Drosophila melanogaster: one gene and its partners. The protein of the gene in region 1 interacts with the protein of each later gene in a pairwise test. Each region holds a gene or a part of one and is shown in the gene's direction. Other genes may lie near its edges.

The links.
Region 2: the proteins of l(3)neo38 (region 1) and Doc1 interact in a two-hybrid assay, tested with the Drosophila melanogaster proteins (one large-scale study listed by BioGRID).
Region 3: the proteins of l(3)neo38 (region 1) and rb interact in a two-hybrid assay, tested with the Drosophila melanogaster proteins (one large-scale study listed by BioGRID).
Region 4: the proteins of l(3)neo38 (region 1) and CG13950 interact in a two-hybrid assay, tested with the Drosophila melanogaster proteins (one large-scale study listed by BioGRID).

Annotation. Positions count from the first base shown.
Region 1 is NT_033777.3:11,774,958-11,782,600, reverse strand, and holds the start of l(3)neo38 (lethal (3) neo38), read left to right. Parts: upstream 1-3,472; 5' UTR 3,473-3,619; exon of another isoform or gene 3,620-3,743; intron 3,744-3,979; 5' UTR 3,980-4,922; coding exon 4,923-5,127; intron 5,128-7,643. Other genes in the region: prd1 (pruning defect 1), read left to right, coding at 1-169, 231-599, 662-781.
Region 2 is NT_037436.4:9,038,327-9,047,151, forward strand, and holds Doc1 (Dorsocross1), read left to right. Parts: upstream 1-3,048; 5' UTR 3,049-3,213; coding exon 3,214-3,304; intron 3,305-3,502; exon of another isoform or gene 3,503-3,571; intron 3,572-3,706; coding exon 3,707-3,872; intron 3,873-5,061; coding exon 5,062-5,329; intron 5,330-5,397; coding exon 5,398-5,535; intron 5,536-6,018; coding exon 6,019-6,531; 3' UTR 6,532-6,716; downstream 6,717-8,825.
Region 3 is NC_004354.4:4,533,485-4,543,356, reverse strand, and holds rb (ruby), read left to right. Parts: upstream 1-2,730; 5' UTR 2,731-3,051; coding exon 3,052-3,693; intron 3,694-3,753; coding exon 3,754-4,582; intron 4,583-4,647; coding exon 4,648-5,871; intron 5,872-5,925; coding exon 5,926-6,713; 3' UTR 6,714-7,722; downstream 7,723-9,872. Other genes in the region: CG3568 (uncharacterized protein), read right to left, coding at 1-181, 235-379, 445-654; CHOp24, read right to left, coding at 1,301-1,450, 1,806-2,140, 2,213-2,354; CG3556 (uncharacterized protein), read right to left, coding at 9,771-9,832.
Region 4 is NT_033779.5:856,691-863,473, forward strand, and holds CG13950 (uncharacterized protein), read left to right. Parts: upstream 1-3,506; 5' UTR 3,507-3,630; coding exon 3,631-3,719; intron 3,720-4,073; coding exon 4,074-4,667; intron 4,668-4,738; coding exon 4,739-5,006; 3' UTR 5,007-5,116; downstream 5,117-6,783. Other genes in the region: aru (arouser), read right to left, coding at 5,476-5,568, 5,629-5,808, 5,873-6,783.

The DNA of each region.
Region 1 (7,643 bases):
TGGATGCACGTTGATCGTCACGGATAACCATTTAATAACCCTGCGTGAAGACTTTTCGGCTCCTCTACGAAAAATAAGCCAGCAGGCGGATAACAATGCAGCCGTTCAGGGAAATAAAGAAACCATGCTTGAGGAGGATATGCTCAGTGTTTTTGAAACCAGTAGCTTAGTAAGTGCGCTTATTGTATTAGCAAATCAAACTTCGTAATCATTTGGACTTAAAATTTTAGATGGGTTCCACCATTAGTACTCCTACCCGTGGCACTCAACATTCATATTCCTCGTTAAGCTCTACGCCTACTAAGCAAACAAACGAAGATGCAGCTCCGAAAGAAACTGTAGCTTCGCCGGAAAAATCACAAAGAATGACCAGTGTTTACGGAAAGAACTCCGGTTTAGCCATACTAACTTGTGCGGACATCAAAGAGATGACTGGCATTAAGATAACCTCGCGGAGCGAGACTTGGTGGTGCATTCTGGAGTTCTCCTGCCAGGAGGCACCATTGGAAAACCAGGACGATTTGGTTATATTCTTTGCCAGCAGCATGGAAATGCAACGTTTCCTGCGGTTGCTAGAGCAGCTTTGGCAGTCTAAGAATGTATGTTTCTCGTTGACTACTAAACCTTTCCTTAGCAATAACGAAATATTCTAATTTTACAGAACGATCTATTTCCAATAACCATACTAGACGACGGTGACTCTCTGGCCGAGCAATATAATAAACTTTATATGGACACAAATAGGGCCTGGGAGCCTTTGCTATCAGCTGCGCTGGGTTAACGTGGCTCTGGCCATATATACTCCATTTACAAATAGAAAATTATATTTCCATATACATTACTCAAGCGTTAAATATTCTATCCTGAATACTCAAATAGCTAAAGAACAAAAAGTATTGATATTTATATAGTCTGTATGTATTATGTATTATGATTTTGTAATGCGTGCCTCCGCTTGACTCATTCATTCGTTTGCGCTTAGTAACATCTCATTTGAATAATTTTTGTGATATTAAACTTAAAGTCGCTGATCTTTGGTATGCTCTTTTGTAGGATATTTAGTTTCTATTGATTTTCTACATTCGTTATTTCTTACCTTTTATAAATACATTGTGTACAAATATTGCACAGATAATAAGAAACAAAATATTATACATAATCTAACTTATACGAATATTGGACATGTAATCAATCGGTAATGTTATGTTTTGGGGGTGCTCTTTTGGTCCAAGGATCATATCCATATGATATACGACAAACAATATGTGGCTATTTATAAAATAAACAAAACAAACATTTATAAATGTGTATTAGGAAAAGTGTGCATGGTGGACTTAATCTTATTTTGCAATGCTGTGCCTCTCCTTTTCAATTAGCATAGATTAAATTCCCCTCCCAACGCCCGACATTTCGCTGTAAGCCTTTCAGCCCACTAAAAGCTCATGATAATTAATAAAACCAATAAACGCCATTACAAAACGAATTTTTATTTATTCTGAGCTCGCTGATGGTCCTTGACATTTTCAATAATTGCAAGTGGTGAAAGGGTTTACAGAGGAAAGGGTTTTCTGGGCTCTAAGTCGGGTTTATGCTGTGTGGGACCCTATATTCCGAATGAGTGTGGGGGAGATGGAGTGGGGGTCTGGAGAGGATGCTGAATAAGGAAACAAGTTACATACAAATAACCTAACATCAACATACATTGTGTACATGTGCACAACTATGTACATACATATGTATATGTACATCGGTATATCGAAGTATCTGCAGGTACATTCTGTACCCATGAGTGTGAGAGTATCAAAATATTTGATAGTGCCGGTGATCGAGTTTTCTAACTATTATTCGATACTCAGAATATTTGTATCTTCCGTCGATCGGCAGTAATTAATAATTGGAAAATGTGCATATAAACTCTAGATAACACATGTAACAGTTGCAATTGCTCGAAAATCAAGCTAAACAAAGCATTGCATTCAAAGATTCAAGCGCGGCAGAAAGAGAGAAGACGAGAGAACGAGCAAGTGAGTGAGAGACGAAACAAGGAGAATGTGAGAGAACGTAAAAAACTCCAACCCTCTGTATTAAACGAGTAGAAGACAAGACTGCAACAGGAAAAAACAAGAATGAGAAAAGACATACAGACATGCACACACAGGCGCTTATGCAAGTGCACGTGTATATGTGAATTAACACATAAAAATTAAGGTGCAGTCGAATCGACTTGCCGGTCTCCTGCGCATTTATTTTGTTACTTAATAATGTTAATATTATAAATAGAGATTGCTTAAATTTATTAAAAAAAGAAGTCATACGCATATTATTATATCTCTAGGTTATAGAAATATTTCCGTTAATTAAGCTTATGTAAATGGGGGTATATATGTATGTACATATATATGTATGTACATACAAGTATTTATCTGTCATCAAAATTCATAATGAAGAGGGATCACTAATTGAAAATGGGTCGAAACTCCTAGGGGGAGTTATTTTACCGATCTCGAACCCCTAGATGTGGGTTTGGAAAACATGAAAACACTTGCAAGAAGGCAGGAGAACAGAGGCAGAAGCGGAATCAAAAAAAGAACTTGTCTTAGTTCCACGGCCTGCTTTCTTTCGCCGCTGGACTCACTTTCATTAATACAACATACAGCAGAGGCAGAATTGAATGCAACGAGAGCAATGCGCTCGAGAACGCTCTGCTCTCTCGGCCTCTCCTTTCCCTTCGTCTACACATGTCCGTGGGCAAACAGATCCAGATACATGCACACAAGCATATAGCCAAACATAGATACTTGAAAACACATCGTACATACGCCGCTACAAACTGACATATTCACATGTAAACGTATAAGTGCACAGCCATACCACACAACCCCAAAAAGTTGGAAAACCAAATAAAAATACAAGGCGCATTGTATGTGCGTTTTTCTTGTGGACACTCTACGTCGATCTATGAGTACCCTTTTTGCAAGTTAATAAGAAATTTCATTATGATTGTTTCGAGTCCTAAAGGCTATATTCAAACCCAGATATAATGTAATATTTTTAAAAAATGTTCTTCAACAAGGTAGCCATTATCAGGAAATATATTAAAAGCAGGTTATCCTTTTACCCTCCAAAGAACTACAATAGTAGTTTTAGTAGTTTAGGGCATCCAAAGTGATCAAGATCCAGAATTTTGTTATGCAAATAAATTTATTCCCTACCATTAAAATACATAAATGCAATCTTAATGGCCCTTTCTGCTGTGCCTAAACCAAATCCAGATATTCAAAAAGTCATCCTGGTCGACGTTGTCAATACATTTGTTGTTGCCTCGACGGCGGTCACAAAAAGTAGCTCATCTCTCGCTGGAAACCAGTTTTTATGCTTCGCTCCCAACCGGTTTTCATCCTGATAACTTACAGCGAATTTCGTGGCTCGTCTCACTGCGTGTCTGGCTATGAGGTTCGGATCAGCTCGGTATCGGCTTCAGTCCCAGCATAAATTGCACTTCGCCTGCACGGATCGCGCATGAATATTCTGCCCAGCAATCTGGCCAAGTGACCAAGCCAATTTCGGGAGCAGGGGCCTGGGACCAGTGTCATATGCCCGACACTCGGTGCAGCGAAATGTAAGGAACGTTCAAATAAACGCGCATTTTCCAGAGAAGTAGAAAAACTTCCACCCTCAAAGCGGCACACAGCGCACAAACATACAGACAGTCGTACAAACACACAGCGAACTAATACAGACATGTAAGAATGCTGCAGTCGTGCAATTGGTTGGTAGACGAATAGTTGCTACCCAGTAAATGCGGGGGGTCATTGCCAATGCTTAACATGATCTTGGGAATAATTAAAAAAAATATATTTAACAAGAGGAGCGCTAAAAGGGGTGTAAAATTATCATTAGCAATCGGTTGATTTAAAAACATTCTATTTATTATATGTATTAAATAATTTGAAAAACTAATTAAACGATCAACTTATAGGTAAAATACCCATCTAAACTACCGATAAAGGTAACCATGAGAGATTGGATGAAAACGAGTGCCATTAGCCCTCTAACGAAATATAAAAACTAAAAACCATCTAAACCATAAGCGAGGAAAAGGGGTGCGAATACCTCCCAACCGATATACCCAGCGTGCCTCTGGGCACTGTCACTGTCATTTGCGTCGCAGCGCTGCCGCCGTCCGCGTCCGCGTCGCTTTGCCTGGCCCAGTGTTTCCGCTTTCTTTCGCCTCGTTGTAATGTTACTTTTAGTTTGATGTCGGAGCCTCGACGAGCCGGTCGTAAGCGAAATCGTAAGCGAGACTTTAGTGCGATTCCGCTCCGTTCCGCCGGTTGTGTGTGCGTGCTTAGTTCGAGCTGAGGCGAAGCAGAAGCAGAATCGGAATCAGAATCCAGCGGAATCGAGAATCAAAATCGAAACCGAAAGTGGTTCTCCGCGTGTGCGAGCTAGTGTGTGTGTGTGTGTACGTGTTGTGTTTGGGCCCGCTTTTCTGCTTTTCTACCCCCGAAAAAGCAAAGCACAGCATAAAACTGTGCGCTCGTAAGCGCGTACGTGTGTCTATGTGCCTCTGTGTGAGTGCTAGTGTATGAGTGCGACCAGGGGAAAGGAGGCAAAGAAAAGAAAACCAACCCCCACCAGCGACGGCGGAGAACAGGAAAACAACAACAGAAGGCACACAACCAGCGCACCACCACCATCATTACCATTACCGCCACCACCCACTACAACACTTCGTCATCGTTTCGCGTTGTGCAGAAAATAATTACAAAAAAGAAAAGAAATAGAATTGCAAGTAATATTAGCGACCGATCGAGTTTTAGTGCTAAAGCGATTCGAAAGATTGTCTTGCTTAAACCAAAAGGGCCCCTCGAGGCCCTAGAACTACTATCCATTACCCCGCCGATCATCCCGATCCTGACATGATGAACTTCTCCGCGTTCGGCGGCCCCTTCTCCGGCATCCACCAATTTGCCGCTAAATTCGACGCCCAGACGCCGGGCGCCTTCGGCACGCCCCCCGCGGCTGCCGCGAATGCAGCAGCCGCAGCGGCAGCGGCCGGCACCGATAACCATGTGCAGCGATATCAGACCAATGGCAATCACTTTAATCAGAATGTGCCCAACGGTAAGTGCATCTGCCCCACCACTACACTATACTATACAACATTTACAATGTGGCTACACATACGGACAGACAATCGCCTGCAATGCACATGCAGGCACATGTGTCTGTATAACATAATCACTAAAAATTTATTTTATTTTTATCGATTTATTTTCGCCCGCTGCGGGCAGCGACGCCGGCGTCAAAGCGTCAGGGGGTATACACTCTCACTCGAGCAGCGACAGTGGCGGTGGTGGTGGGGAGACAGAGTCGTTGACAGAGGCAGTGGCAGAGGGGGTCGGCTACTGCCTCGCCTAATGCCCTACACACAGAGGGTCTTGTTTTGGGGCAAAGGGCACTACTCTTGTTGGAATGGCAACTTCTGGATAGCCTTCTTTTTCAAAAATAAACTAAACGGGCTGCTGATAGTCATCAAAAACTAACGGGTACTTCTTGCAATAACTTATGATTAAGATCATCATAAATGAGAATAGTAAAACGTAAAAAATATACAACCTCTAATTTCGGTGAATAACACCTCTTGATTGTCCAATTGGTTCATATTTTAGTATTCATGACGGCAGGAAAAAGCAAGTAGAGTAAGCAAAAATATTTAAATGAAATTAATACAAATTGCTTATAGCTGTATTATTTTACAATAATATTCTGGAGTTCACGAACAAAGAGGTTTATTGATCTCAACATAAAGTTTGATTTGACCTTCTGTTTAGCATACTTTGCTTCAAACAAATCGTAGGACCTTATGACAATCCTATGAATAATTCTCAATAGTTTCAATTCTCTGAAGCTTAGTTAAAATTTCGTTTCCAATACTCAGCTAAAAAAAAAGTCCCACTTGAAACTCGAACAATACTTTCCTTGAATTCCCAGCGAAAGGTGGCTTCCATCTGGATCTACTTACTGACATTCGCATAAAGACATGTGTGAGTGTAAGCGGGTTTTCCACCCCCATCTACGAAATTCTCGCTTTCTGGCTAGCAAAGACATCTTCTTCAGGCAATTTGTAAACCGCACTACAATTTTTTGGGGGTTGGTTGGCGGGTTGGAGCGACTTAGTACGAGTACGAGTATACCCTGTCATCAAAGCAGAATTTAACGATTTTTTCGTCGTTGTTTTTGTTTTGCGCTCTTTTTATACGAATATTCCGCTCTATGTTTTGAGTCATTACCACCCACCCCCAAGTGGGTGTAACCTGTGTGTGTGTGAGTGTAAGCTATGGCTGTTGTTGTTTTGCGTGGCTTGAAAATGCAATGAACTCAAATAACTTTTGAATTTGCTGCATTTCACTTTGTTTTTTTGTAGGGGTGGGTTTCACCGCTCTCTTCAGCTACTTAAGCACATACATAGAAATACAATTAAATGCATATACGTATGTGTGTTGGGCGAGAGTATGTGAGTGAGTGTGTGTGTGTTTGAGTGTGAGTTACAACCCCCAACCCACGAGAGCCTGCCTTTGCCTTTTTAATTGCACTGACTTCCTGCCAACTTGCAACTTTTTTTGTTTTAGTGGAAGGGTGTGACCGGTTGGACGGTCTGGCGGTCGGTCGCTTCCATTCCCGATATATAGAATACATAACCCCTATACTAGCCCCTAACCAAAGGGTCCTTCTTCTTATCAATTCTAATTAGCTGCATTTGCTTGCATAATTAGATTCCCAGGCAACCCCCATCCCCCAGATGGCGTTTCATAATTTATTTTTGCCCTGGCAACAGCACAGATATTTTCCACTTGCATTTATTGGAAAGTGCAGGACCCAAGCCCAAACCCAAACTCAAACTCCTCTGCATTGGCTAAGTTCATTGATCCCAGCTTTTGAGATACGCATTATATTTCCAGTTTAGCGTTTTATATTTTTTACCTGCCATAACAGGAAAATGCGTTTGCAAGTGTGTGCCGAGTGTGTGTGGGTAATGCTGCTCTTTTATCTCTTTCAACACATACGACTGGATGTAATCTACGGCCCTGGGTATTTCGTATCTGGCGGACTGTGTGCTGCTGATCCCAAATCCAAGGCAGGTAAAATGTGTCCCGCGTACTCGAGCCACTGCATTTTCCTGCTGCTCTCGCTTATTAGCTGCATTATCGCTGCCCTGCGACTCTGTGACCTGCTCGAGGTTTATCTTTTGATACCTACCCGATAATTTGCCTGGTTTTCTTGTATGTATAAATCATTTTTGGGTTACCAGGAAATGTGCAGCGGTAGATGTAGATATGACCGGACCCTTGAAGTCGCCCTCTGGGTATGGGTCTCAAAATGTAAACAGATAAATACCTGGCCAAGATTGGGAGAGTTTGCTCAGAGTTCACATGTTGGAAAATCCAAAGCAGCTCATAATTAAGAAGAAGCGATTTAAATGAATATCAACTCGAAGGCAGACTGCGTACTAACTTATTAAAATTACTTATATTGGACTAATGCAAAATAAACAAAGACTGCTATTCACATCACGTGAAATCAAATACAGAGATACAATCGTTATTTGTAGTATTGCAAACTAAACTTTTTGTTAAGAT
Region 2 (8,825 bases), on another chromosome or scaffold:
TTTGCCTTCCTGCCTTAATGATGCTCTCGACGCACCTTGAGCACCGGCTTAGTATCTACCAAAAACCAAGAAAAAAAACCTGGGGATAAAAAAAAAACAGTGAAGATCTCTATCAGCGGGTTAACTCGTTTAGCATTTAGTTGCAGGCGCCTAACCAGCTAACTTTATCGTGTAGTTTGCATCTTGATGCCCATGCCGTTTTCCCAGGACTATGGATTCTGGACTTGGCCACGCCCTGTCTTATTAGGCGCAGACAGTGTCGTTTATATCATTTATATTATTTTATGACATTTGCCTTTTGTCCGTGGTAAATTATGTGTAACTTGTAGTTTTGGCAGCTCACGATCATCTGATCTTTCGAGCATCCAGGCAGGTGACACACGGGTTTTCGTGGCCACGAACTGGTTAATTAGGGTTGTCCATGATTTATTGATCTGTCGAACTGGGGAAATGTAACCTGTCTCAATGATTATGGACATTTATAAGCTGATGGTCTTTTAATATATGAATATGGCTGGTCATTTTGATGGGCGGGTTATATGTTAATTACCTTTTGCCTAAGAGATTGTGTGGGTTGTTCGAGAGCTTCCGTCCACCCGTATACCCAATCCAAATCCCTTCTCCCCGGCAGCTAATCTTCTCTGGCCCAATCTTATCCAGCACGAACATATGTCGTTGTCAACCTCTGGCAGCTTGACCGCTACCGTTCAGCATCTGCAGATCCAAGGCGGCAGATAGCGGACTCACAAAGATGTCCTCTGGCCGAGGGACTTGGATCGTCTGGCGCCACTTGGCTACTTGAACCGAACAGAGTACCCAGAGCCAGCCACTTGTCGCGTCCTTCTCAGTGCTCTGAAGTACATTTGCTTTATGGAGGAAGGCGCGACGAAGGACAATAGAAAATTATTACTTCAATTGGCGACAGACGACTGTGCTCAGGTACATGCATCTTGAGCAACTAAAGACACCGCCGCCCACGGGACACTTCACACCCAGCAAGGCGAGACACACCGCAAAACGACCTGTCCTGGGAATCCTTGGAATCCAAGGAGCGTGGTCACTTTATGGGCTGTGCCGATGTCGCGTCAACTTATGTGTCTCTGTCTCGATTAGGTTTACTGTCGATCTAGTTTACCATGCACCCGCATGACGCAATTACACCTGATTTATCCGAAGGTCCACCTAGTGTATCTGAACAGAGATCTGCTTGCATCCCACTGTCTTTTGTGTGACATTTCTTTGTCGGTATTTTTGCAGGCGTGAAGCGTTACATTTTCAAATCAAATCTTTTGTTCTAACTGCTGCGATATTTGTATAAAAATATTTTACGATTCTCTGGCGCCGTTCGCTGCCAGAAATCTCCAGTCATCATCATCAGCTGGCCAAGCACCGGAGATATGCCGTCTCGTCCGGATCCGGAGTTGCAGTGGAGACTGGGACATGGGAATGGGCATTACTCGGAAGAGCGTGCCAGGGCGACAGCGAAATGCTAATTTAATAGAGGCTCTTCGACATTGACTTTCTTTCTAGTCCACTGAATGCGAACTCAAGCTTGAAATTATTTGCTGGCGACGAGTCAAGGAAATAAACGCATGTCTGTCGACAGATTTGTCTGATGAATGCACTTATGAGTTGAATCAAGTTCAAGATCAATGGCATTTGAACCAAATTGTATGTAGCTTGTCCTGAAAGAAAATCGATAGATAACTAATCAAATTCTATAATTAGTTCAACTGATTAAAGTAGTAATTAAAGTAAAAGTAATAGTACTAAAAATCGCAAATAAATCTTCACAGAGTTATTGTTTCTATTTTATCCAAATACAAAAATTTGTTCAGACCACAAGAAATAAGGGAAATGATAAAGAACCATTTAAAAATTAAGTTCTATAAAAATGGTGTTTCAAATAAATTGGATTTAAGTTATTCCTTTTTCTTTAAATTACAAATCATTGCATGTTTTCAATTTGCGTTGATGAATAAGTTAAGTTAAGTAAGTAAGTAAGTCTTAATATATTTTAGAATAATATAGCTATTCGTTAACGTATTTCAGTCCAATGTGTTTTAAATGATCAATGGCTCACTAAGTATCAATTATAATACTTCCTGTGAATATAGGAATGTGCATTTCAATCTACTTCCACCCGCAGGCACTTAAGCCCTCAATTTCCAATGCTGACAAGCACTAATCAATAGGCCCTCGAGCCAGAGCCCAAAAACTATATGAATTTCGATTTTCCATTTCTCAGTTTTTTTTTTTTTTGGGCAAATCAATAGCGAGGGCATAGCATATCGAAATTCCAAAACGGGCAATTAACAAAGCCAACAAAATTTATGTTTCACCTGTCTGCAGCAAAGTACATAAATACCCGAGAAATGCCAGACAATGTCGAAGATAGGGAACCCAGCTAATTACACGGGGGCATGGCAAACGACGGAGGGACAGCGCCCAAACGGAAGACGGCTGCAATGGAAATGGCAACGGACATTTTCCGACAGCGCCAAAACCAACAAAAAAACATAAAAACGAAACAGACACACAAGAAAAAAAAAGAATAAACCGAGAGGAGAAGAAAAGGCAACGGCAGCTGAAGACAGCAGACAGGCGCGCTGTGGAAAATCTCACTTCTGAATTACAAGCAACGCCATAGCCCGGCTAAATCCACATCCATATACATACATGCATACATATATCCAAGTCTCCTAACTGACAGTGATCGAGAGGGAGACAGGGAATGCGGCTTGAAGGCAGTGGCGCAGAAAAACACTGCGGCTGATGAAAATCAACAGGGCTAAGCGTTAACTTCGCCACTCGGCTGCACGCAGTTCGCTTTTCCCGCTCCTCCGCTGCTCACAAAATGGCGCCCACCGTCGATCCACCGATCTTCGCCAGAGTGGGACAACACTAGTACCCACATAGCGTAGGCGTCTTCCGCCAGCCAATCACAGGCGCTGCCCACGGAGAACCGGTTTTCCAAGCGTAGCTGCTACCTGCTTGGCATCGGGAAAAACTGGCTGCGACCCACGGCGAGTTAGCACTCGAGCGGAGCTACTCGAGATCAGTTCGTTGCGAAACGTCGAGCGTGAAAGAACCTCAGAGCGCATCTTCAGTTACGAGCGAGTGAATAACAGTGAAGAATTCCAAACTACCAGTTATTATCAGAACGTACTAAGACATTTTACCAAGTGCTATACACCGTGCAAGTGCTTCGAAATGCTTTCCATGCAAGAGCTAATGGATATGCGGATGCAGCAGCAGCTGGCCCACGAGATCTACCGCCAGCAGATCATGCAGCGGATTCCAGGTGCGTTTCTAGACATAAGGTCTATGGGTGTTGATCGAATGCCGTCGGCAAATGGTTTCGCGATTTTCAAACTAAAAAATATGAGAAAATATATGCAACCCAAAAGAGCGTACTTAAAAGTGTTTTAATATTGTGATTATTATTAGTGCTTCGGATTTTATGAGCAATAAATATTCTACTTCAATTTAACTTATCATTATAACTAGAAATTGTGGTCATAACTGCATTGCCTTTATTTTCAATCTTTGATTGAACATATCTTAATAGGTATTATATTCCGATAAAATACAATAGATAGCGAAATTCCAGCTAACTTAGAAATATGATTTCTGCAACACCCACCTCCCTGAAGAGGTCCATTGCAAACCCATGCTAATGAACTAACCAAACCGCTTCTTCCAGATCCCTTTCCATCGATGTTACCTTTCAACATGCCCCACCAGCAGCCGCACATGATGCTGCCCAGTCGTCCCACCCTGCCCGGCGTGGAGGCCAAGTTGGAGAACAACGATTTGTGGCAACAGTTCCATAAAATCGGCACCGAGATGATCATCACAAAGAGCGGCCGGTAAGTTTCATTTTCCCGCGAACCCATTATCCTATGCAAATAGCCCGAGTTTTTCCAAAAGTCAAGTGCGTCGCACGGCCTATGTAAATATTTGCTCCTGTACCAGGGCCAACTTTCCCAATTCCTATCTCATACGAGTACGAGTATGCCTATACCCTGAACCTTTCGATTTCCCGGGCCTAATGTGGCGCCTGGCCATAACTCAAAACGCAGCAGGAGCTCTCGCTCGGAGTGACAACAAGTGCAGTGTAGTCGGCGGAGGAGAACACAAGAGCAAGACGCCGCCCTGGCGCCGGTCCGATCATAAAAATCTTTCTTCTCTCGGTTTCGGCGTTGACAATCGGGTTTGGTCGATCTACCTGCGCTTTTCACACTTTGCCCACAATACCACCATACCATACCATACCATACCATTCCATGCCCTGTCCGTGACCCTTCTCCAAAGCGATGAGACCAGACCCTAGCGTATCTCAGATAGGGGAACTATCGAACAGCGACTACCGAGCGGGAGCCGAGACAAATTTACATAATTATGATCTGAACTCGAAGTTTAAGTTGCAAATGTACACGGAAAGAAATCGTGCAACTACAAGCATTATTTTTGGCCAAGGCTTAGAATATGGCTGGGCATCATAGAAATCAAGAGATCTTGAACATAAATATATATTTGTTATATATATATATATTTCGTAATATTTTATTGAAAATGATTAATATCCAGTAGAAATATTATTTTTCTGTGCTGTTTAATCCGCGATAACAGTCACTTTCTCGGCTCATTAGACATGCATTCGACGCTTGGAAGCCGTTAGGGCGACTCCCAGATTTTGTCTAATTGCTTGGCGCCAGATTGCCCCAGCTCCTCCAGCACTCTGTTGCTCCCCGTGCTCCTCCATGAACCAACGATCCACACAATTAATCATGTGCCGTTGGCATATTGTTTTGGGCTGGCAAGATCTGTTTGCGTTACCTTTTAAATCGATGCGTTGCGCTACGCAGACTCCCCGCTGCCCTCTACTTTTCGGTCCATAATTACACACTTGTTAGCCGGGGCAACAAATCACAGGCGATATGAAGTAAAATAGAATAGATGCCCGGGCGACGCCTTCTTTTGCGATGCTCCTTCCCTGATTTATATGCAGTTCGTGGCAGGCCACTTAATCAAGTCCTATTCTTTTCATCCTTACAGACGCATGTTCCCCTCGATGCGAGTTTCCCTCAGCGGACTGGAGGAGGAGGCCAGCTATTGCGTACTCCTCGAGATGGTGCCCATTGGCGATTGCCGCTACAAGTTCTCCGGTTCCCAGTGGGTTCCGGCCGGAGGAGCCGAGCCCCAGAGTCCGCAGCGCATGTATCTGCATCCGGACAGTCCGGCGACCGGTGCCCATTGGCAATCCCAGGCATTGCTCTTCAACAAGGTCAAACTGACCAACAATACACTGGACAGCAGCGGACATGTAAGTTTGAGTGAGCTCATAGTGTATCTTTTGAATGGGTTACTTATAGTTTCCATTAACATTTCCAGATCGTTTTGGCCAGCATGCATAAGTACCAGCCACGCCTGCACATCATCCGCAGCAGCGAGCTCACCCAACTTCCATGGGCTCCTCAGCAGGCGTTCGTTTTCCCGGAGACGGAGTTCGTAGCTGTCACAGCCTATCAGGTGGGTTAAAGACAACATCCTTTCCGTCCTCCATTGAGGACATGTCTGACAGGACAAAGACTCTGCGGGGGTCGTCGCCTAATTGAGGCATTTTCAAATTTGTCGCCTAGCCAGCCACTTGAGTTTGATCCTAACGAGGATCACAGTGGAACTTTTCAAGTGCCCTCCCAGCCGACGGCTACTTACTGACGCCTCGTAGTTTAAATTTCGACCAGACAAAAACAATAGAGATCGTTTTTCATACTATTTAAATTAGATTTAAAACTACGCGTTTTTTTACATATTTATTTAATCTGCAAATCTTTTTTATAAGGCCGTAAATTTATTTATTGTTCCTTTTTACGATCTAATTGAAAATTCAAGTGTTAAAAGTAATACATTTAGAGCTAATTCGTTTTAAGAATTCATTGTTGTATAAAAACTGATAGTAATTAATCATTTATGTGCTTAAATTAATTTATAAATTTGTTCTCATGCTTGCAGAACGATCGCATCACCAAATTGAAGATCGATAACAATCCGTTCGCTAAGGGTTTCCGCGAGTCGGGTCAATCCCGCTGCAAAAGGAAGCTGAACAGCAGCGGAAACTCGACGCTGGAGTCGGAGGATGATGGCTCCAGTGTGAGCAGCTGCGATTCTCCGCAGGCGAAGCGCCAGCGCCAGGATTTTGAGCAGGACTCAACGGGTAGTGTTTCGCCAGCTTACTATGGAGCAACTCATCCAGTTGCCAATCCTATGTCGCCGTATCTCCGCCATCACTTGAGCTATGGACCCAGTGGAGCTGCCGGATTGCCGCCCAGCATTGCAGCTGCCTATTTTGGTGGAGTTCCTCCGCAGATTCTGCCAATGCCACCAGCCACATATGCGCCAACTGTCGCGCCTGTTAGTCCTGTGGCCTCGCAACCCGTTGGCTCCAGCACACCCACAACATCACCAAGGCCTTCAACCTCAACGAAAAGAAATAGCTTCAGCATTTCAGCCATTTTGGCCTATTGAAAGAAATATTTGGTAAACATACTTAAGTTGGAGTCATCTTCTGTTGTGATTAGTGAGAAACGTGTGCATATACTTTGTAAGCTAATCTATGCTACATATAAGATCGTTTAAGAACCAAGCTGCAATCATATACATTGTTAATTCGTTTTAAGAGTCTTTGGTCAAAATAAACAAATCAGACATCGAATCCGTAGAAAATGCAAAACTATTTGCGGGGGGGGGGGGAGCAACGGTAACCTTCAGCGTTTCCGTTTTTACAGGTTTTTGGCCATATCGCAGTGCCTGGGCCAAAAGCAGTTATGCGACCGCTTTGGCGGGCCTAAGACAAATTAATGCTCTCCATTATGGTGACCAGTCGGTTCTCGAGTCACACGTATCTGAAAAACATCCAACTCCGGTAGTAGTTAAAGCAATTCTCCAAAGATAAGGCGTCCATTATGAGCAGCGATTTGACGGCTTTCAGGCTGTTTGGTCTTTGCCGACTCCCAGCTCCCCTGCGATTCCATCCGCATCCCTGGGACACAGAGATGACGCAGAGGTGGGTGCACGGAGAAAAAAAAGTATCACACATTTCAATTCAACTAAGTAAGTTTTGGCTTATGGTATTGCTAATAGAAATGGTTTTTAAAGTAAATTTAAAGAAAGAAAAATTCAACATTCATCTGATCATTTCAAAATCGAAGCACTTTTCTTGCAGTGCACTTGCTGCTGTTGCCGTCTTGTGAAATTTTCGTTTTATCGCACCTTTTATGGCCATTGGCCAGGCCAAAACGAAGTGGGAGCTGGCCAAGAAACCGAAACAGAAACCGATGCCGAGTCGGTTGGAGAGACTTTGGTGTGGTCACTCCTTGTGTGCATTATCGTGTCAAATGCGACAAATCTGTCTGTGGCCCGGCGGCTGCCTTTCAGCTTGCATAATTGAGCTGATAACTCGGCGCTCCGTGGATGTGTGCGGTCCACTTTTGAGCGTTTCCTAAACGGTGGCGCCAAACATTTCGTGTTTAATATTTTTAATTAAGTTTTTAAGTGCATCCAGAAGGAGATGGGACCACAGAGAATTTATCTAGCCAGTCGTTGCGGATAGTTCAAAGGGGCAACGAATCGATTTGGCTTCCATTCATAGAAATCGATGCATATATTATGCATAATGTAAGCCAAATCAGCGCGAAATAATTCACCAGCCACACGAAGCCGCGTTTCAAGCGGCTTTTTGACTAATTTGGGCTTAGTTTTGTATTAGCGCTTTGTGTTTCTCCTCGTCTTCGATTGGATTTGTTGGTGCATAAATTTACATTTGAAATGCTGAAACAATTAAATTATGGGATTTGCACGTTTTCACCCAAAAACAAAAGGGGCCAAAACAACATCAAATCACATTCGTTGTCGGCGTCTGTGCCTCAGAAGTGTTTTTTTTTTTTAATGTTAGGTGTTTTTTTGCTGACTCGCTGCTGGCTTCTTTTTGAAAAAACGGTGGCAAAAAGCGTCAAAATTCGTAGATTATGAGATAAAAATGGAAATCGAAGTCGCTCCGGTATTGCATTTCTAATTTGCGCTTGTTTTAATATACTTAATGAATTTTTATGTGTAGGTTGGTCCAATACTCATGCCCAAATCCAAATCCGGTTTTCGTTCGAAGCTGTTGATAATGATAATGAGGATAACGATGCTTTATTGAGGAGGTGTTGCCGTTCGGATCTGAATTTTATTTGCGCCACATGTTAGCATATTGTTGTTGCCGCTGCCGCTTTTGTTGTTCTTTATTGCTAATTATAATATATTTGATTTGGTATTTAAGCTTTAAGCTATAAAAATGTTCGCATTCTCTGTTTTACGAGCCAACAGCTTGCAAATATTCAATTAAATTGTGCGAACGAGAACAGGTCGAGGTGGATTGTGAAAACTAATCATAATTAACACACCTTTTTCTATAATGTTCTAAGTATTTTATTGAAATAAAAAAAGTCAAAAGGAAATAAAACATAGTTTTTGGTTTTGATGGCTTCTACACCCGTATTAAACATATTATATAATTACATTAGTAATATATATCTTAGAAAGTCTACATTTAAACAGAAGAACTGAGTGTTTTAAAACCAGTATTTGAGCTACCAATTTTCGATGGGTTTTGTATACATTTCTTAAGCATTTCCCTGTATTTTACATATTTTACGCATTATTTTACACATAATATTTTACATTTGCCATGTATTTTACAATGGTTTGGAGCCGTGCTATATGAGTACACTATCAAACAAAATTGTTTCTTAAATGCATTATTGTATTTTTAAAAACCA
Region 3 (9,872 bases), on another chromosome or scaffold:
GTGAGGGGTTCCTTTTCGGCGGGCGTACCCACTGCCTCGAAGCCCTCGTTACCAATATTTCCCTGCATTGTACGGTAATAGTCGTTAGCGCCAAAGAACCACACACATCTCTTCGCCAGCAGGCGCTGCACAAGGTCAACCACAGTCATGTCCTTGTAGATGGCCTTCTCCTGCTCGCTGCCTGTAAAACGATGACCAGAAAATATAAATTCTTTCGATTGTGATTGTACCCACCGAACGTGAGCTTGTGCTCTAAGAAGCTGATAAAGAGTAGGAGGGTCCGTTCGTGAATCACCGGATAGGCGGATGCGATTTGTTCCCGTATGCGGTCACTTCGATCTTCCGGCTGTGCCTTCACTCGGCAGGAATCGATGCCAAACTAATGTGGGGGGATTATATCAATGTCAGAAGACAATTTTGCGAAACCAATTCCAATGAGTATACCTCGGCGGGAGACTGCTCCGAAATAGCTTTGAAATTATCGAGATCCACCGAAGCGTCCGGCTTTGCCATTTGGCCACATTCTTGAAGCATCCGCTGAGTGAAAGCATTTTCCGGCAGATTTGTACGTTTACCAGGCCATATGATAATAGATTTTCCGCACAAACATGCCAATTTGGGACGTTGGGAGAGCATATAAAGAAAAGATCTCATCGCACTTTTTGGAGTCACTTTTAGGAGTCCGGACAAAAAAGTTCGCCGCTGATAGGAATATATGTCAACTGTCACTGGACGATCCAGTGCTGCACACCGACGTCAGATTTAATAACTTATTTCCACTGTCACATTAACTACCCAACACTCAAAAAGATTTGAAACGAATTTAATATAGCTTCTGAAAAGTTGTTTTATTTCCATTCAGATATTTCGAAATTATTATAGAATCCATTTCCATTTCGAAGTTGCAAACAAACTTTTCTCTTGTCAACCTACATTTATTAGAAAACAAATGGTTCTTATCAATTTAGTTCGAAAGTTCACAAGTGTCTCTTCCCCCCTTGAATGTGTGTCTGAAAATATTTGCTGTTCTGTTTCCATTAAGAGATATTTGGTAATTAAAAAAAAATATATATATTAATTTCTCTAATATAGCAATCTCTGTTAATAATTCTCGAAACAGAAACATGATCGACATACTTTCAAGCACTAATTACTTTTTACAAGGTATTTTATTTAAATTACAAAAGGATGTTAATCATTTAAATTAAATCTGAGACTGCAACGCATTGCGCACACATTTCCCCCAGAGCTTCGTGTGCCGCCTTCCTTTGCTACTTCCATCCTGGTTTTCCGCTCGGGATTACACGACGCGCTTGACCTCGAAGAAGCGTTTCAGGTAGTACACCTGGCCCACTGTCATCAGGACCAGGACGAGGGCTTCGAAGGTGGACCACAGCACCACTCGCGAGTTGGTGTTCTCGTTCACCGAACGATGGATCTTGTCGCGCACCTGAGGGAGTAAAGAAATTGGAGGATTAGTCGTGGATTACTTCACAAATAATGTCAATACTGATTATAACCGATGGTGAAAACATGAGTGTTTGAAAATCGCTACTAGTTATTGTTTATGTGGCAGCTAGCAGCTCCATTCCCTCGAACAAGTCTACCGACTCCGCTCTTAAATCTTGCGACGTGGATCTGTACAAGTAATGCTGGAGGCATGCCAGACTATGTGGCAATAGTTACTCGATTGCTCCCATATTCCATGTACCCCTAATTCTGCTACATGTTAAACTCTTCCAAAACCCCCAATCATGATTATGTGGCAGCTGGATGCTCCATCTTCACCTCGTCTCTTCACTCACATGCATGTACTCCTGTTCGTGCTTGACACTGGTCAGCGTGCCGGAGAGCTCCCGAATCATGTCCTCCAGCTTGGTGTGGCCCACCTCCTCCTCGCCGGGTGCTCCGGGCGCACGTTGCGGTGCGTCACCCACGTCGATGGAGAACATGACCAGCTTGGGGGTCATGCTGCTGCGTTCGTTGTTGAAGCACACGGTGTAGGTTCCCTTGGCGGGGGCCACAAAGGTGTACTTGCCGGACGACTCCTTTTCGCTCTCGTGCATCACATGGTTATCCGGGCCGCTGATCTTGATGTCCACGTCTAGGAAGCCACCGTCGATCACCTCGAAGGTGACGCCTGTAAAGTCACCATCATTTTATCAGCATAGATCCCTTGTCAATTGACCGAAAATCCATATCGCTCACGTACCAAACTTGGTGCCGCCTTCGACGTTCTCGAAGAAGCACTCCTCATTGTGGGCGTCCACGCTGACGATGAAGGCGTGGCTGGTGCGGCACAGGATCAGCAGGCTGCCCACAAGGAGCAGCACCTTGGCGAGTGTCGATTCCATCGTTTGTCTTAGTACTTTTGGCCTGGTTTTAATCGCTATTAAACGCACTGCAGCCACGTAGTTGTAGTCGATTCGATATACTCCGATAGATGTAGACAAATAGGGCATATCGAAGAACAGCAGTTTCCGATAGATTCGGCATCGATAGGTGCACGCGACACGCGATACCGAATTTTTAACGGATCACTACAAAAAACTCACAACTCATAAAAATTCAAAAGCAACATGAATGCCGCGAAATGTTTCGGTTAAAGTATTGGATATCGTAACTAATACATTACTTTATTTATGTGCGTACCTATATGAAAAACTCTTGGTGCATTCCATCACAGTTAGTTAAAGTGTTCTAGTATTTTTGTGCTATGTGTTAATCGGCGACTATCGACAGTTGCCCACCATTAGGAAACAGAAAGCTAAAAAAAAAAATGCAAAAATTGGCCAGAATTTCGGCATAAATAATAGTATCCCTTGCAAAACTTGCAAGCTGCGTGGCAGGACGAGCAGCTGACCACCAGATCGTCTTGAGGATTCAACATCAGGAACAAAGGTTTCACATTGGACGCATTTGCAAAAACCGAAAGGGAAAACTGCCAACTCCCACACACAAAAAAAAAGGAAAAAAAAAATCATCAGCACGGAAAGTAAAAGGTCAAGTGGTCAACCGAAATCTGGGTAATCCGGGGGAATCTTTGCAAGAATGCAGCAGAACTCGGCCAGCAATCCCTTCGCCATGTCCACATATGTGGAGCGGCCCCAAATGGGACTGGACGTCGAATTCGGAGCGGATCCTGCCAGCGGAGCAGCTTTCTTCCAATCCGATGGACGCAAGCATGATGATCTCAAGCAAATGTTGGACAGCAACAAGGATGGACTAAAGCTGGAGGCCATGAAGCGCATCATTGGCATGATTGCCCGCGGACGGGATGCCAGTGATCTGTTCCCGGCAGTCGTCAAGAATGTGGTGTCCAAGAATATCGAGGTCAAGAAGTTGGTCTACGTCTATTTGGTGCGATACGCCGAGGAGCAGCAGGACTTGGCCCTGCTATCCATTTCCACATTTCAGAGGGCGCTCAAGGATCCCAATCAACTTATTCGCGCCTCGGCTCTGCGAGTGTTATCCTCCATAAGGGTCAGCATGATTGTGCCAATCGTAATGCTGGCCATTCGGGATAGCGCCGCCGATTTGAGTCCATATGTGCGGAAAACAGCGGCACATGCCATCCCCAAGTTGTATTCTCTGGACGCGGATCAAAAGGATGAACTGGTCATGGTCATTGAGAAGCTTTTATCGGATCGCACTACTCTAGTGGTGGGATCAGCGGTGATGGCCTTCGACGAGGTGGGTCTGCAGCTAAAGTAAAACATTTATCCTCTATATACGACGGATCTTTATTCGTAGGTTTGTCCGGAACGTGTAGATTTGATACACAAGAACTACCGCAAGCTGTGCAATTTCCTGCTGGATGTGGACGAATGGGGTCAGGTGATCATCATTAATATGTTGACCCGCTATGCGCGCACTCAGTTCGTTGATCCCAATGCGGATGATGAGGATCTGGTCAACGATGGCCTGGGCGAAACGCCCGTTAGTGAACGCTTCTACGACGAATCCTCGCACTCCTCTTCCCACAGCGATGATGGCAGTAGCGATGACGAAAAAAACAAGTCGAGTACGAACAATAAAAACAATGGCGGAGGAAATGGCAGTAGAACACCCAGTTCTCCGAGCAACAGCTACCACATCGATGTGGATCACCGCCTGCTGTTGAGGCAAACGAAACCATTGCTCCAATCGCGAAATGCCTCCGTGGTGATGGCAGTGGCGCAGCTCTATCATCATGTGGCTCCCAAGAACGAAGTGCAATTGATTGCCAAGGCGCTGATACGACTGCTGCGATCGCATAAGGAGGTTCAGAGCGTGGTCCTCAATTGCATTGCCTCGATGTCCACCAAACGAAAGGCGATCTTTGAGCCGCACCTCAAGTCGTTCTTTGTGCGCACCAGCGATCCCACGCACATAAAGCTTCTCAAGCTGGATATTCTCACCAATCTGGCCTCGGCGGGCAGTATTTCGCTCATTCTGCGCGAATTTCAAACCTACATCTCCAGCAGCGATCGTTCGTTTGTGGCGGCCACGATTCAGGCCATTGGACGATGTGCATCTAGCATTAAGGAGGTTACCGAGACCTGCTTGAGTGGCCTGGTTCATCTGCTGTCCAATCATGACGGTGCGTTAAGCTTTCTTTTAGCCATTTGTATTTTAATTTTATAAGTATTCCGTTATTCCATTTAGAACACGTGGTGGCCGAGAGCGTGGTGGTGATTAAGCGTCTTCTGCAAACGAAAGCCGCCGAGCACTTTGAGATTATCACCCAAATGGCCAAACTGATCGATTATATCAATGTGCCCGCAGCTAGGGCAGCCATCATTTGGCTTATAGGCGAATACAACGAGAAGGTGCCGCTGATTGCCCCGGATGTGCTGCGCAAAATGGCCAAATCGTTTGTCGATGAGCAGGATGTGGTGAAGCTGCAGGTCCTAAACTTAGGCGTTAAGCTCTATCTGACCAATCCGGAGCAGACATCGTTGCTGTGTCAGTACGTCTTTACGCTGGCTCGCTATGATCCCAACTACGATGTACGCGATCGTGCCCGTTTTCTGCGGCAAATCATCTTTCCGGCGAGCGGAACGAGCTCGGTGCTCAGCCAGCATGCCCGCCAAGTATTTCTCGCCAGCAAACCGGCTCCGGTGCCGGAGAGTAAATACCGGGATGGCAATAACTTCCAGTTAGGATCGTTGTCTCACTACCTGAACATGCCAGCGGCTGGCTACAAGGAACTGCCCGCCTTTCCGGTGATTCCACCGGATTCATCGGTACGCAATATAGCTGGATTTATGCAGGACAAGCTGCCGGGTGAAGACTCGCCATCCGGACATTCAAAGGATAAATCCGGCCGTGAAGGCGGTAAGGAAAAGGGTGCTGGTGGCGAGAAGGGCTTCCTCTCTGAGTCGGACGACAAGTCTTCCGCTTACTCGGAATCAGGCAGCAGCAGTGGCAGTGGCACCAGCGACAGTGAATCCGATAGCGATGGCAGCGGGAGCAGCGATGAGGAGGAGGAGGAGGTGCAAAAGCAGCAGCCGACCAAGGTTTCCTCGGTGAAGGAGCGGCTTATCGATGCTGGAAGCAATGAGCTGGCCGCTACTTCTTCGCCTGTAAAAGCAACTATAAACAACAATAACAATGCGAGAGGTTCGTCAGGAACATCGGACAGCGAGGATTCATCAGCGTACAGTGGCAGTAGTAGTGATGACAGCGCTTCCGGTAGCGATAATGAAGTGAAAAAGAACGAAACGAAAACGGACACAGGCACAAAGCCGGAGAAGTTGAAAGAGAAGCACGAGAAACAGCCGGAGCAAACGGCTGTCAAGAGCAATCTGGACCTGCTACTCGATCTGGATGACATTCCGCCCATTGGTCCCGTGATGACGCCCTCGTTGGGAGGATTCCTGACGCCTGGTAAGGTGATGCGCATCTCTAAATTGGCCTCTTTATATAATAATTCTTCAATAGGCACACCAATGATGGCTGGACAGGCGGCGCCACTGCAGCCGCAGCACGCCCGCAATCGGGTGGAATTGGTGGGTCCCTCGCACATCGAGTTCAAGCACAAGGAGCTGCTTAACAAGGTCAGTGGCCATGGACTGCATTTGGCCTACCGTTTCACCCGCTCCCCGCATCTGTACTCCTCGAGCATGTGCTCCATTGAGCTGCAGTTCCAGAATCGTGGCGAAAAAGAGATTACGGCCATTCGTCTCGGGCAAACAACTCTGCCGGCGGGCATGCAATTGAATGAGTTTGCGCCAATCACTGTTCTCCAGCCCCAACAAACAGCGAGTGGTGTGCTGGGCGTCGATTTCAATGATTCGACGCATGCTGTAGACCTGGAGCTTCTGTCAAGTGCGGGCAGTTCACGACTGCAATTGAAACCGCCGGTGGGCGAGCTGGTGAGATCCGTCCAGATCGGCGAGAGCTGTCATCGCGAGGAGCGGGCCAAGCTGCGTGGAATGAATGAGCATCAGTGCGAGTTGCGTGGCCTGAGGCAGGACCTAATCGATGTGGTCGCATTGCGGCAAAAGGTTTTCGAGTCCATCAACGTGGCGCATACGCACAGCTCTTCCAGCGGTCAGCTACACTGTTTCGCCGGCCAAACCCTGAGCTCCAAAAGCCTCGTGCTACTCACCCTCGATTGGAAAACAGAGGATGCCCTCACGCTGCTGGTAAACTGCGAGAAAATGGTCATTGGATCCATGGTGCTCAACGAGCTGCGCAATGCTCTGCAGCTCAGTTTCGCCATGTGAGCGATGGACACGAAAGCGAACAAGACGAAAGCGAGCAGCGAACTAACTTGAGGAGTGGAATCCCCTGGAGCAGGGCTACTCAACTGAGAATAAGGCAAAGCCGCCTCACTACGTAAACATAGCATTCATATTTAGCTATACACTTGTAAACGGGCGGGGAGAACGTAATCTTTGAAATTAGCTGATAACATTAGCTGAGATTACAGGTGTTTTAAATTCCATTTTCGAGAGATTATATGTAAATGTGCAGTGTAACAGATGCAACTTAAGTGTTCAAGTGGGATCGAAATCCAAAACTAATTTAAATTGCAATTTCAACTGTAATTATTACATATTCTTTAACTTGTTGAAAACTGAATGAAAAGTGATGCAAACTATTGTGTAAATGCTACAAAACTATATTTATTGTTATACACATTCGCAAATTCTTAATGAAACTTATTGAAATGGGAAACACACAACTTCCTATATATTTGTATCCGCTTATACTGAGATATTTTGCATAAAAGAGTCACCATTTCCTTTTATGAATGGATGAACACAACATGAGATTAGTGTAGCTTTCATATCCAAATCGAAAATTATTCAAGGATTACCAACCGCCCCGCCCAAATATAAATGAAACATGATCCTAACGCTTTTAATATTCCTATATACAAACTGCAACCACAAACAATTCCAGATGAAATGAGATGTTACAATTGATTGAACTCGAATCGTTGCCGATCCAAACAAATCCTATCCTCCAATCCATCCTACTTAGCTAGGCGTGTGTGTAATGTGTGTATGAGTAATCGAAACGTATTTGTAAAGTGTTTGATGTTGTAAATCTGTTGCCTTCGTGCTCTATGCGGCCTTCTTCAAAACGTAGCAAAGACAAACGAATATCGAATCTATATATTATATATTATATTCATACAATAAACAGCGCAAATTCTGGCAAATTAAAGTGAACAAATGAAACGTATTCTAATAAAGAAACAAATCAATCTGTTAATATGCCTGAAACAAATAAGCTGAATCTCCGCATTGAAAAGCTGAAATAAAAGCTTACATTTTAAAATTGAGAACGTCTTACCTGTTTTGGATAAACGAATCAAGTTTAATACACGCTCGCACATGTCAAGTAAAAATGCTTTTTTCAAAAGTTTTCAATTATTTTGATGTTTATTCACGCTTGTTCTTGTTACTTTCTCCACTCACCAAACAGAATATAAGAAGTCAGCAAGGACAAACTTTCAAATGCAAAAGAATCGAATCGAATTCTAATTAGTTCAATTCCTTAAAATTCGAGTTGATTTCTGCATTTATGTATCAATTTCCTGCTGCTGTCGCTTGAAAGTCGGGATTGCTTCAAAATAGCTCCGTGGGAAATTATAGAAGGAGGTTGGACATACTGACATGCTGGGTTATAGAACATACATAACTCATTCCTCAAATCCTACGCTGCTTTCTCCAAATCCAACTGTGTTTTAGGTGTCGGTGTCGGTGTAGTTGTAGCTGTATTTCCTTGTGTTCTAATTTGGGTTCTGCACAATTAAAAAGCTCAATTTCATGCTTATCAATATAAACGAGTTAGTTAGATCGCTAGGTTAGTAATGTTTAGTTTAGTTTTGGATTCGCTGCTGCACTTAAAGATCTCAAGTAGTAGTTTTAGTAGTTGTAGTTTTCGGTTAGGCTAGGCTTTAAGATCAACGGCTTGAAAGTTCCGAGTGATAAGTGAAGAAATATAGGGTTTTGGGGATGCTATATAATGTATGATTAGGGGATAGATAGCATGTATGTATGTACGAATAGTACGAGTATGTACGTATGCATTAATGTAATTTTTGGGTAATATGGCATGGGTATATGTATGCTGTAATAATGGGTTGTGAGTAGTTCTTGACAGGCATATAGTAGAGCGTTTGTATATAGTGTCCTGGGGTAGTATCGTTCTCTTCTCGTTTTCGCTATTCTGTATACACGTTATATAATATGCCACGGCCTTCGTTCGCTTAACTTCATATAAAACTAGTTTTTTTTTTACCATTTTTTTTTTGTTTTGTTTAGTTTTCTTTCTTTTAAATGTATATGCAAGATGTATATATCGATTTATGCAGTATGTGTGTATGTCTAAGGATGATTTTCAATCACTTATTGTTACGTACGGTGTTTGGTATAACATGCTTCGCTTGGACTAGCCCGATGGCCTCTTTCTCCACCTCTCCCGTTTTGTCTACCTTCAGATTTATTAGATCCGGCGGATCGTTCAAATCGTTCTTTCCTTCCCTACTCTCTAACTTCAATAACATATAAAGCATTGGTTTGGTTTTGGTTTTCATCTTTGGGTGTCTTAAATGGGCAACGAAATAGTTATCGCTTATCGCACAAACGATATTTTCGATTATGGCTCGATTACCGAGACTATATAATCGATAAGCATCGATAGCTGCGAAGCGAAGCATTGAGAGGGCCTAAAACGGACGGATTGCTACCGTTAGTCAACGGCTAACCGTTCGATGCCTGTTGTTAGTGCATTTAAGTCGTTAAGTTTTTGTTTTTATCACTCTCTCTTCCTTTTTGTTTGTTATCGTTTTTTTTTTGTTTTTTAATTATCGTTATCGTTATGCATAAGTATTAGCCTGAGGTGCTCCGAATCGAGATCAGTTGTGAGGTCTAGAGCAATTAACTATTATGGTGTTATATCCTAGTTATCCCTTGGAAATCTGGGCTTCCACAGTTTACCTCCTTTCACCGATCTTTCACTCTTTCTTGTGATTTTCTGTGTATTGTTTTGGGTGTTCTTTTTTCCTTTTTTTTTGTTTTGCTTTGTTTTTTTTTTTTGATTACGCCATTATTATGCAGTTATATATGCACTTACTCAGGAATAGCTGTACTGTGTAGCATACAGCTATTCCTGTGCGAGTGTAAGTGCCTTTTTGCTTGTTGCGTGTGTGTTGTGTGTGTGTGAGACGTGACTATGGCCATATATATAATAAATATAGTCCAATAGCACCGGGTATTTATCGACTTTGCTTAGTGGGTTAAACTGCAGCTCCGTCTAAGGCCGCGTGCTTAGAGCTTCTTGTACCAGTAAAGATAATGCTCCCCATCCTCGACCATTAGCTCGTCCACACCTGCAAGAGTTCGCATCGAAATTACCGCCAGTTGGGGGGG
Region 4 (6,783 bases), on another chromosome or scaffold:
GCCGGCGATAGCGCGGGTGGGTCGAAGGTGTCACTTGTCAGCGGTACAGCCGGGGTCATAGAGATATAAGCGATACTTATAACAGGGATTGTACCATAATCAGCCAAAAACTGTAATGGTGGGATCAACGAGTTTCTTTCTCTTCTAGGCATTAGATCAAATGGTGATCTTGGGCAGCCTATTACCTTACTACATTTCACCACTATCGTAGTGACCTGAGCTGTGAGCTGGCCTGAATGGATGCACCCGACCGGGGGTCGCAGGCAAAGGGAGCGGGCGAGAGCCCTCACCTGTGCGCACCACTACCTGTTCTGATAAGGCCAGCTATTGAGACAAATTGTGGGGCGACAGCTCCGTTTCCACTGGCATTTCCATTTCTATTTCATTTTCTTCTCAGCCCTTCGGCTACGTTGACAGCGGCGTTTAATGGCCAATACAAAGACAGCACGCACGCTCGGATGTGAGTGCTATCTCGGAATATCACCCACTTTCTGCTCCAGTTCAATATTTCATATTTATTTGCTTTCCGTTTCTGTTTTTCGGCTCTCCCGCTCCCGCTCCCACTCCTCTGCTGCTCGTTGCCGAGCTCCTGGCATTCGCACCTGTACAGGTGAGATATGGGCAACCGATCGACGATACTGGGTGTACTTCGTGGGGCCCCGATTCTTGGTCGGGAGCTGGTGTTTTAAACTTCACCGTCAAATCCGACGTTTCAGTTACGTTCCGAGTCGCGACAAGTGCATATTGTGCCGCCCGATCCAACCGATCGGCGGCTAGATATGGAGCACCCAGTGTGGAGGTGGCGGTGCCTACGTGTAGCTACTCCGACATGGAGCCATCCGAAACCCCTTCCGGGCAGCGAATTACTTGGGCCAAGGGAATGCAAACTGTGATCATCCCGAAAGTTTGTTCGTTTGGCTTAAGTTATTTTCATGTCCGACTAAAGCGCCACGTGGTGGAGATCGGATATACAAGGTGGATATGGTGGCCACCTCCCAAGGAAGTTGTCTTTCGGTCTGCTAACAGCTCGAGTGAACTAATGAGTTGGCCACGCTTGGTGATCCCAACTGGGTACGTCAGCAGGTGAGGATCGGGGGTGGGTCTGAACCCCATGAGCAGCGCCTCCTCGAAGGCCCATCGATCTGGAATGATTAGCCTGGCACTGATACCGAGAAGCGACGTGATTCGCTCCGCTCCCAAATAGCAGACGCCGGCTGATTAAATCCGCCGCCATACTCGGCTTCCGTTTGGGTTTCGGAGTCCGACTCCGACTCCGACTCCGAATCCGAATCCGAGTGGAGAACTGCTCTTCGGCTGGGGCTGGGGCTGGGAATCGGATACTCCACTTGGTGCGCTGGCACGGTCGCTCGGGGCCGTAAACCCATTATCACTATATTGGTTGTACGATTTGCGGATCCGTCGCCAGTTGGCCGACTGTAAAATCTGATTTCTGTAGACGTGTCGTCGCTTTGCCCCAACCGATTCGATACGGCTGGGGAAACTGACTTGGGAACGAGATAAGAGCTCTGGGAACTCTGGGAGCACCGAAAGAAAAACATACACAGTGTGCTGATCATTTCGAGGAATTATCTTACCACCCAGAAACTTATTTGATATGTCGATGATTATACGAGCTGATGATTGAAGATATATGAAGTAGGTATATTGAAGGTATCTTTTTTATCTATTTTCTTCCAGTGCAGTGGGGTGGCAAAGGGCTTTGTGGGTAGGGCAAACGTGGCACTCTCTCTATAAGGTAAAAAGGTAGCCGAAGCCAAACTGATAATTGTGCAACGTACACAAACCTTGCTCGCATTGCTCCACTTGCTTTCGGTTTATCAGTTGGAGTGACAAGCGGAAATTAAAGTTGAAATCGACACGATTATTTCATTAGTTCTGTTTGCGAAGGGCCGAACAAGTGGGCGGAGTGATCCGAAAGGTCGGATCCGAAAGGCAGGAGCTGGCAAGGTCACCCGGATGTTTATATTCGGCAGTCTAGTTGCCGATTGACGGATTGATTGTCAGTGGCCATAACTAACCAATTAGCGATTGCCATTCGTAGCAGGCAAAGCCAGGCACATCTTCGGATGGTTGGGTCGGGTGGGTCACCAGCTGGCCCGGGTGCTCCAAGGTGAAACGCAGCCAGAAATAAGTGCGCCCAGCCAAGTCGAGTTAAGCTGAAGACTTGGACCCAATTCGATCAGGTGCAAGCGACAGAAACAGCGAAGATGGCATAGACAAACAGAGGCCACGTTTTCGTTGGGGGAGTACAGTGAAGCCTCCAAGCAGGACCCCTCCTTTCGAAGAGATCTTAGATCTTAGATCTTGATCTTAGAAATAGTTCGATTAAGGCTAATAGAAATCAAAGCTCTGGCTGAGATCTGGGATCGGATGGATGGACTGGTCGCCTTTAAGGACCTTCCACTGTTCGAGGGCACGAGTGGAGCCCTGGGAAGATGTCATTGGTTTGGACGTGGACGAAAGCGAAAGGTGTAGACGGAGACAGAACTTCAGCGAATATGCCAAGGTACGTCAGGAGAAATGAATTACCCGGACTGGAGTCGTAGCTAGTTGGAAGGGGGATGTCTCGAGGAGGGGCTGGCAAAGTGCTCCAGCCCCCAAGTCGCACTTTACTGCAAATGCAAAAACTTTAGACAGGGAATCAATTGTTGTTACCTTGTTTTATTTCGCCCAAGACACGCAACAACAATGGAACCGTCAAAAGGGGAGAGGCCAAGATGGAGAACACGGCTAGAAGACATTCTAGTAATAGTGGTTACTAGGAGTACTAAAATGTAGCAGTAAGATATAAAAAGGATATGAGCCACCATCAAGGAGTGCCTATTCCTCCAACTAGCACTTATACTTTCTTAATATGAATTTAAGATGACAATTACAACATATTCCTTGTATTTTTATAACTAGTAGCTTGCAAAGTTATTCGGGCAATTAATTTTATGATCGGAAATTCATTATGCGATAAGCAGTTTTTCGAGTTAGGATCATAAATGTTTTATCTTCGAAAAAGTATTACAACGCTTCCGGGTTTCCCAAGTTATGTGGTGCAACAATACTGAATATTCAATATTTAAGCAAAAATAAGGATAATAACTTATCTTTGGCTAGTTTTTCTCCCAGTGTCGCTGGTAACTAGCAACAAATGGGCAGTCGGCAGTTGGGGGCGTGACAGCAACCGTGAAAAGAACTCGAGGATGACAGTTATGGGTTACAAAGGCAAGGATTGAATCAAATAAATAAACGCGCAAGGTTCTCGTCATGGAGCGCGGCTCACTGGGTCGGTTATTAGGTGGCCAGGGGGACAGGGAGCCACCACCGAGTGGATTTATATGGGATTCGATTGAACGGGTTGAGCTCCGACCGGGGTGGGTTCGGGCATGGGCCTGGGGGTAACCTTACCACGTCCACATCCACGTCCATGTCAAGTTTGCATGCGGCTGCAGGTAATTCCCCATTTCACCCGCCTTTACATAATCACAACAAATGAACGAGGAAAGGCGACGGATGGCGAATCTATTAGCATAAGGGCGCATAAAACGGCGCCGGATCCGGCTGGATTCCATCGAGGATTCGCACTCGTCGACTCAGTTGCAGTGGAGCCGTGGAGCCGCGATGAACGTTTGGAAAGCAAAGGTCCTAACGGAGGTCCCATTCGGACACGTCCTCATCGTCAGTGGGCGCGTCAAGCCTCATCCGAATAAGTAATCATCTTTCATAGTTTGGATACCCGGTTCTCCACTAAAAGAATACCGCTTTGATCTGGGTTAAAGTCAAAGGTCAAATGTAGAAGCTGATTTTCTAACCAAATGAAATTAACCAAATGAAATAAACCAATTAGTTCAAAAAGTAAAAAGAGATTAAGTATAAATGGTATTCGAATTATCCGATTATTGACAAAACAATGCAGTTCTAATGCCAACGAAAGGCTTATAAAGCTGTGACAGAGATTTGCAGAAATGAAATGGGTATCCTTAGCGAGTTTGGGGGAGTGCCGAGTATCCTCCCAATCCATATCTAATACTTTTTACTAATGACACCTCTCGAATTACGGACAGAATTTCGCTGGACCTCACGGACAATGTGAACGCGCAGAACGAGAGCGAAACGGTGTTCCTGAAGATCGAGGCCAATTTCCGCGAGGGCCAAATCATCCGCAGCATGTTCCAGCCGGGCGGGGGATGGCAGCAGGAGGAGATCTCGAAGAACTGGAAGTGCGACGGCCCAAAGAACCCGCTGCAGCCTGGCCAGAGCTTCACCTTCCGGGTGGCGGTGCTGCAGCGATGCTTCGAGATCTACGTGAACGACCAGCTGTACGGGTCCTTCGAGTTCGTCAAGTTCCCCAAGCAAATCAACTACGTGCGCACCTACGGCGACTTCGAGAAGATCACCCAGTTCCACCACCGCATGCTCTTTCCGCTCGTCTTCCCCAGAACGCTCATGTGTCCGGACAAGGTGGCCTTCCAGAGCGACGTGCCCAGGCGGTATGAAACCGGCACAGTGGTGGCCATGGAGTGCATCGCCAAGGGCCCGCCGACCACGGAGTTCTCCATCTGCTTCCAGTGCAACGACACCGGGCGTACGGTGCTCCGGTTCCACGTGAACTTCGATCGGACAACCGTGTCACGCAGCTACCAGCGTGAAGACAACAGGTATAAAGGAGTCCGAGACTCCAATATGCAAAGTTCCTCCAAGAGAATTCACCTTTACTCACTTATTCTAGTTTTGCCTTGAGCGACGAGGAGACCGAGGGCGAATTCCCATTTGTGCGCGGAAAGCTCTTCAAGATCGCTTTTGGGCTCGGGGATCGGGCTTTCCTGATCGCCGTCAACGGGCAGTACTTCACCTACTACAACTTTCCCGGACGCCCCTTCTCCATATCCACTCTGAAGTGCTTCACCAACGAAGTGGGCGACTTCGCCGTGCGGAGCCTGGAGTACCACTCCGATTCTCCGCTTCTGGCCCGCGTGGAGAAGTTGTCCATCATTTAATCGATTCGAGTTCTCGTAGTATGCTCTTTGTTCAATCGTTGGCTTTGATCACCGTACAGCACCAGTTAACTTCTTCTTGTGAGCATCCAAATAAAGCAAAGCAGCTCTCCAAACTACAATCTCCTCAATAATCATCAACCAATAGGCAGGTTCCTTTGGATATAATTTTATTAAAACAAATTATTGCCGTCGCCTCCCCTTTTCGCCTGGATGAGCATCAGCTTAAGCATCCGCCTCAGCAGGAGCCACGTGCTGCTCAACAGCTCCCGTCTGGAGCTCCACTTAGGTTAGTCTTAAGGTTAGTTCTGGTTTGCACACTCCTGCGAGCGAGTGCAAGGTATTGGAGCCAATCCGATCGCTAGTGACCAGGACTAGCATCCTAGACGGAACTGCTGATGTCTGTCTCTCTATAACGCTAGATCCTCACTACGGAATATGTGTATATGTATATGGTGATCGCATCTCGATCCTAGAAGTAGCGGAACTCGCCCTTCTTGCCCAGATGCTTGCTGCGCATCATGTCGGTGGGATCCGGCGATCGCTGTTCCATGCCGGGATTATCCTGGGTAATGTAGAGCGGTTAGCAAGTCCCATCATGAATTGAGTGACCAGCCTTACTCACCCCTGATCGCGATTTGTTGCCCGGACCTGTGGGACCCGTCGGTGGCTGCTGCTGTTGCCCGTAGAACTGGGCTCCATCTCCATCCCCGAAATTGAAGGGGGTTACAATCGTGTGCGGCACGTGGGCCACCTGACCCCGCATGTTGCGCGCCTTCCACCACTTTCGGGTATCATCAAGGATCTAAAGTTTCGAAGAGATGGTTATAGGACAGAACGAAGGATGGTAACGTGGGTGCTGGCCTTACCTCCAAGTATTCGCCTCGCATCACGCTAAGCTCCTTGTCGTTGTTGGCGGTTCGCGGATAGGTGACCAGCACAATCTTAGCGCCCGTCGCCTGCAGATCCTCCAGCCAGGACTCGAGCATCTGGTCGTCGCTGACATTCGGCAGGCCTCTGCCTCCACCGCCCAACTCCGACGAAGGCCCCGGACCAGCTCCTGCTCCGTACCCGTTTCCACTGCGAGATTCCCTCGTATGCAGATTCTGCAGACCAGCTGTGATGGCGCTAAGGGTTGGTCCAGCTCCTGGTCCGTGGCCATGACCATGGCCATGTCCCGCTGCTCCGCCGCCCCTGCCTTCGATCGAGTCGAACGACAGCTCGCTGCGGGCGTTAAAGTCAGACGCACTGATTGCGCCCGCCCGCTCTCTGTCGCGCTCCCTTTCCCGCTCCCTTAAACCGTCGTTGCCGTGGTGGATGGTGTACTTCTCGATACCCATGGCCATGTTCATCCCGTTCCCCGAGTCGTAGTCATCGTATCCGCCTCCCCCACGACCATTTAGTCCGGATCCAGCCTGGACCTCGAGTCTGCGCTTGCTCACATGAGCGGGCGGGGAATTTGGTGGTGGCTCCAGTTCATCGTTGATCAAATAGTCCGGTGACCAGCCATCGAGGAAGACCGGATGGTAGGATCCAACGTCATCCTTCCACTGATCTCGCGGGATCACCCAGGCATCGCCCAACGAGCGCCACAGCTCCGTTTCCTTGCTGGTTACACAGTTGATGAGCAGGTTGATGGCCTCTCTGGTCAGCAGGGGATTAACCACACGGGCCGGTAGCTGTGACTCGTAGTACGTGTCGCTGGAGGCCTCCACAATCAGAGCCAGCGGCGTGAAGAGGAAATGCACCAGTTCGGGAGCGTTGGGATCGTGGATGTGCG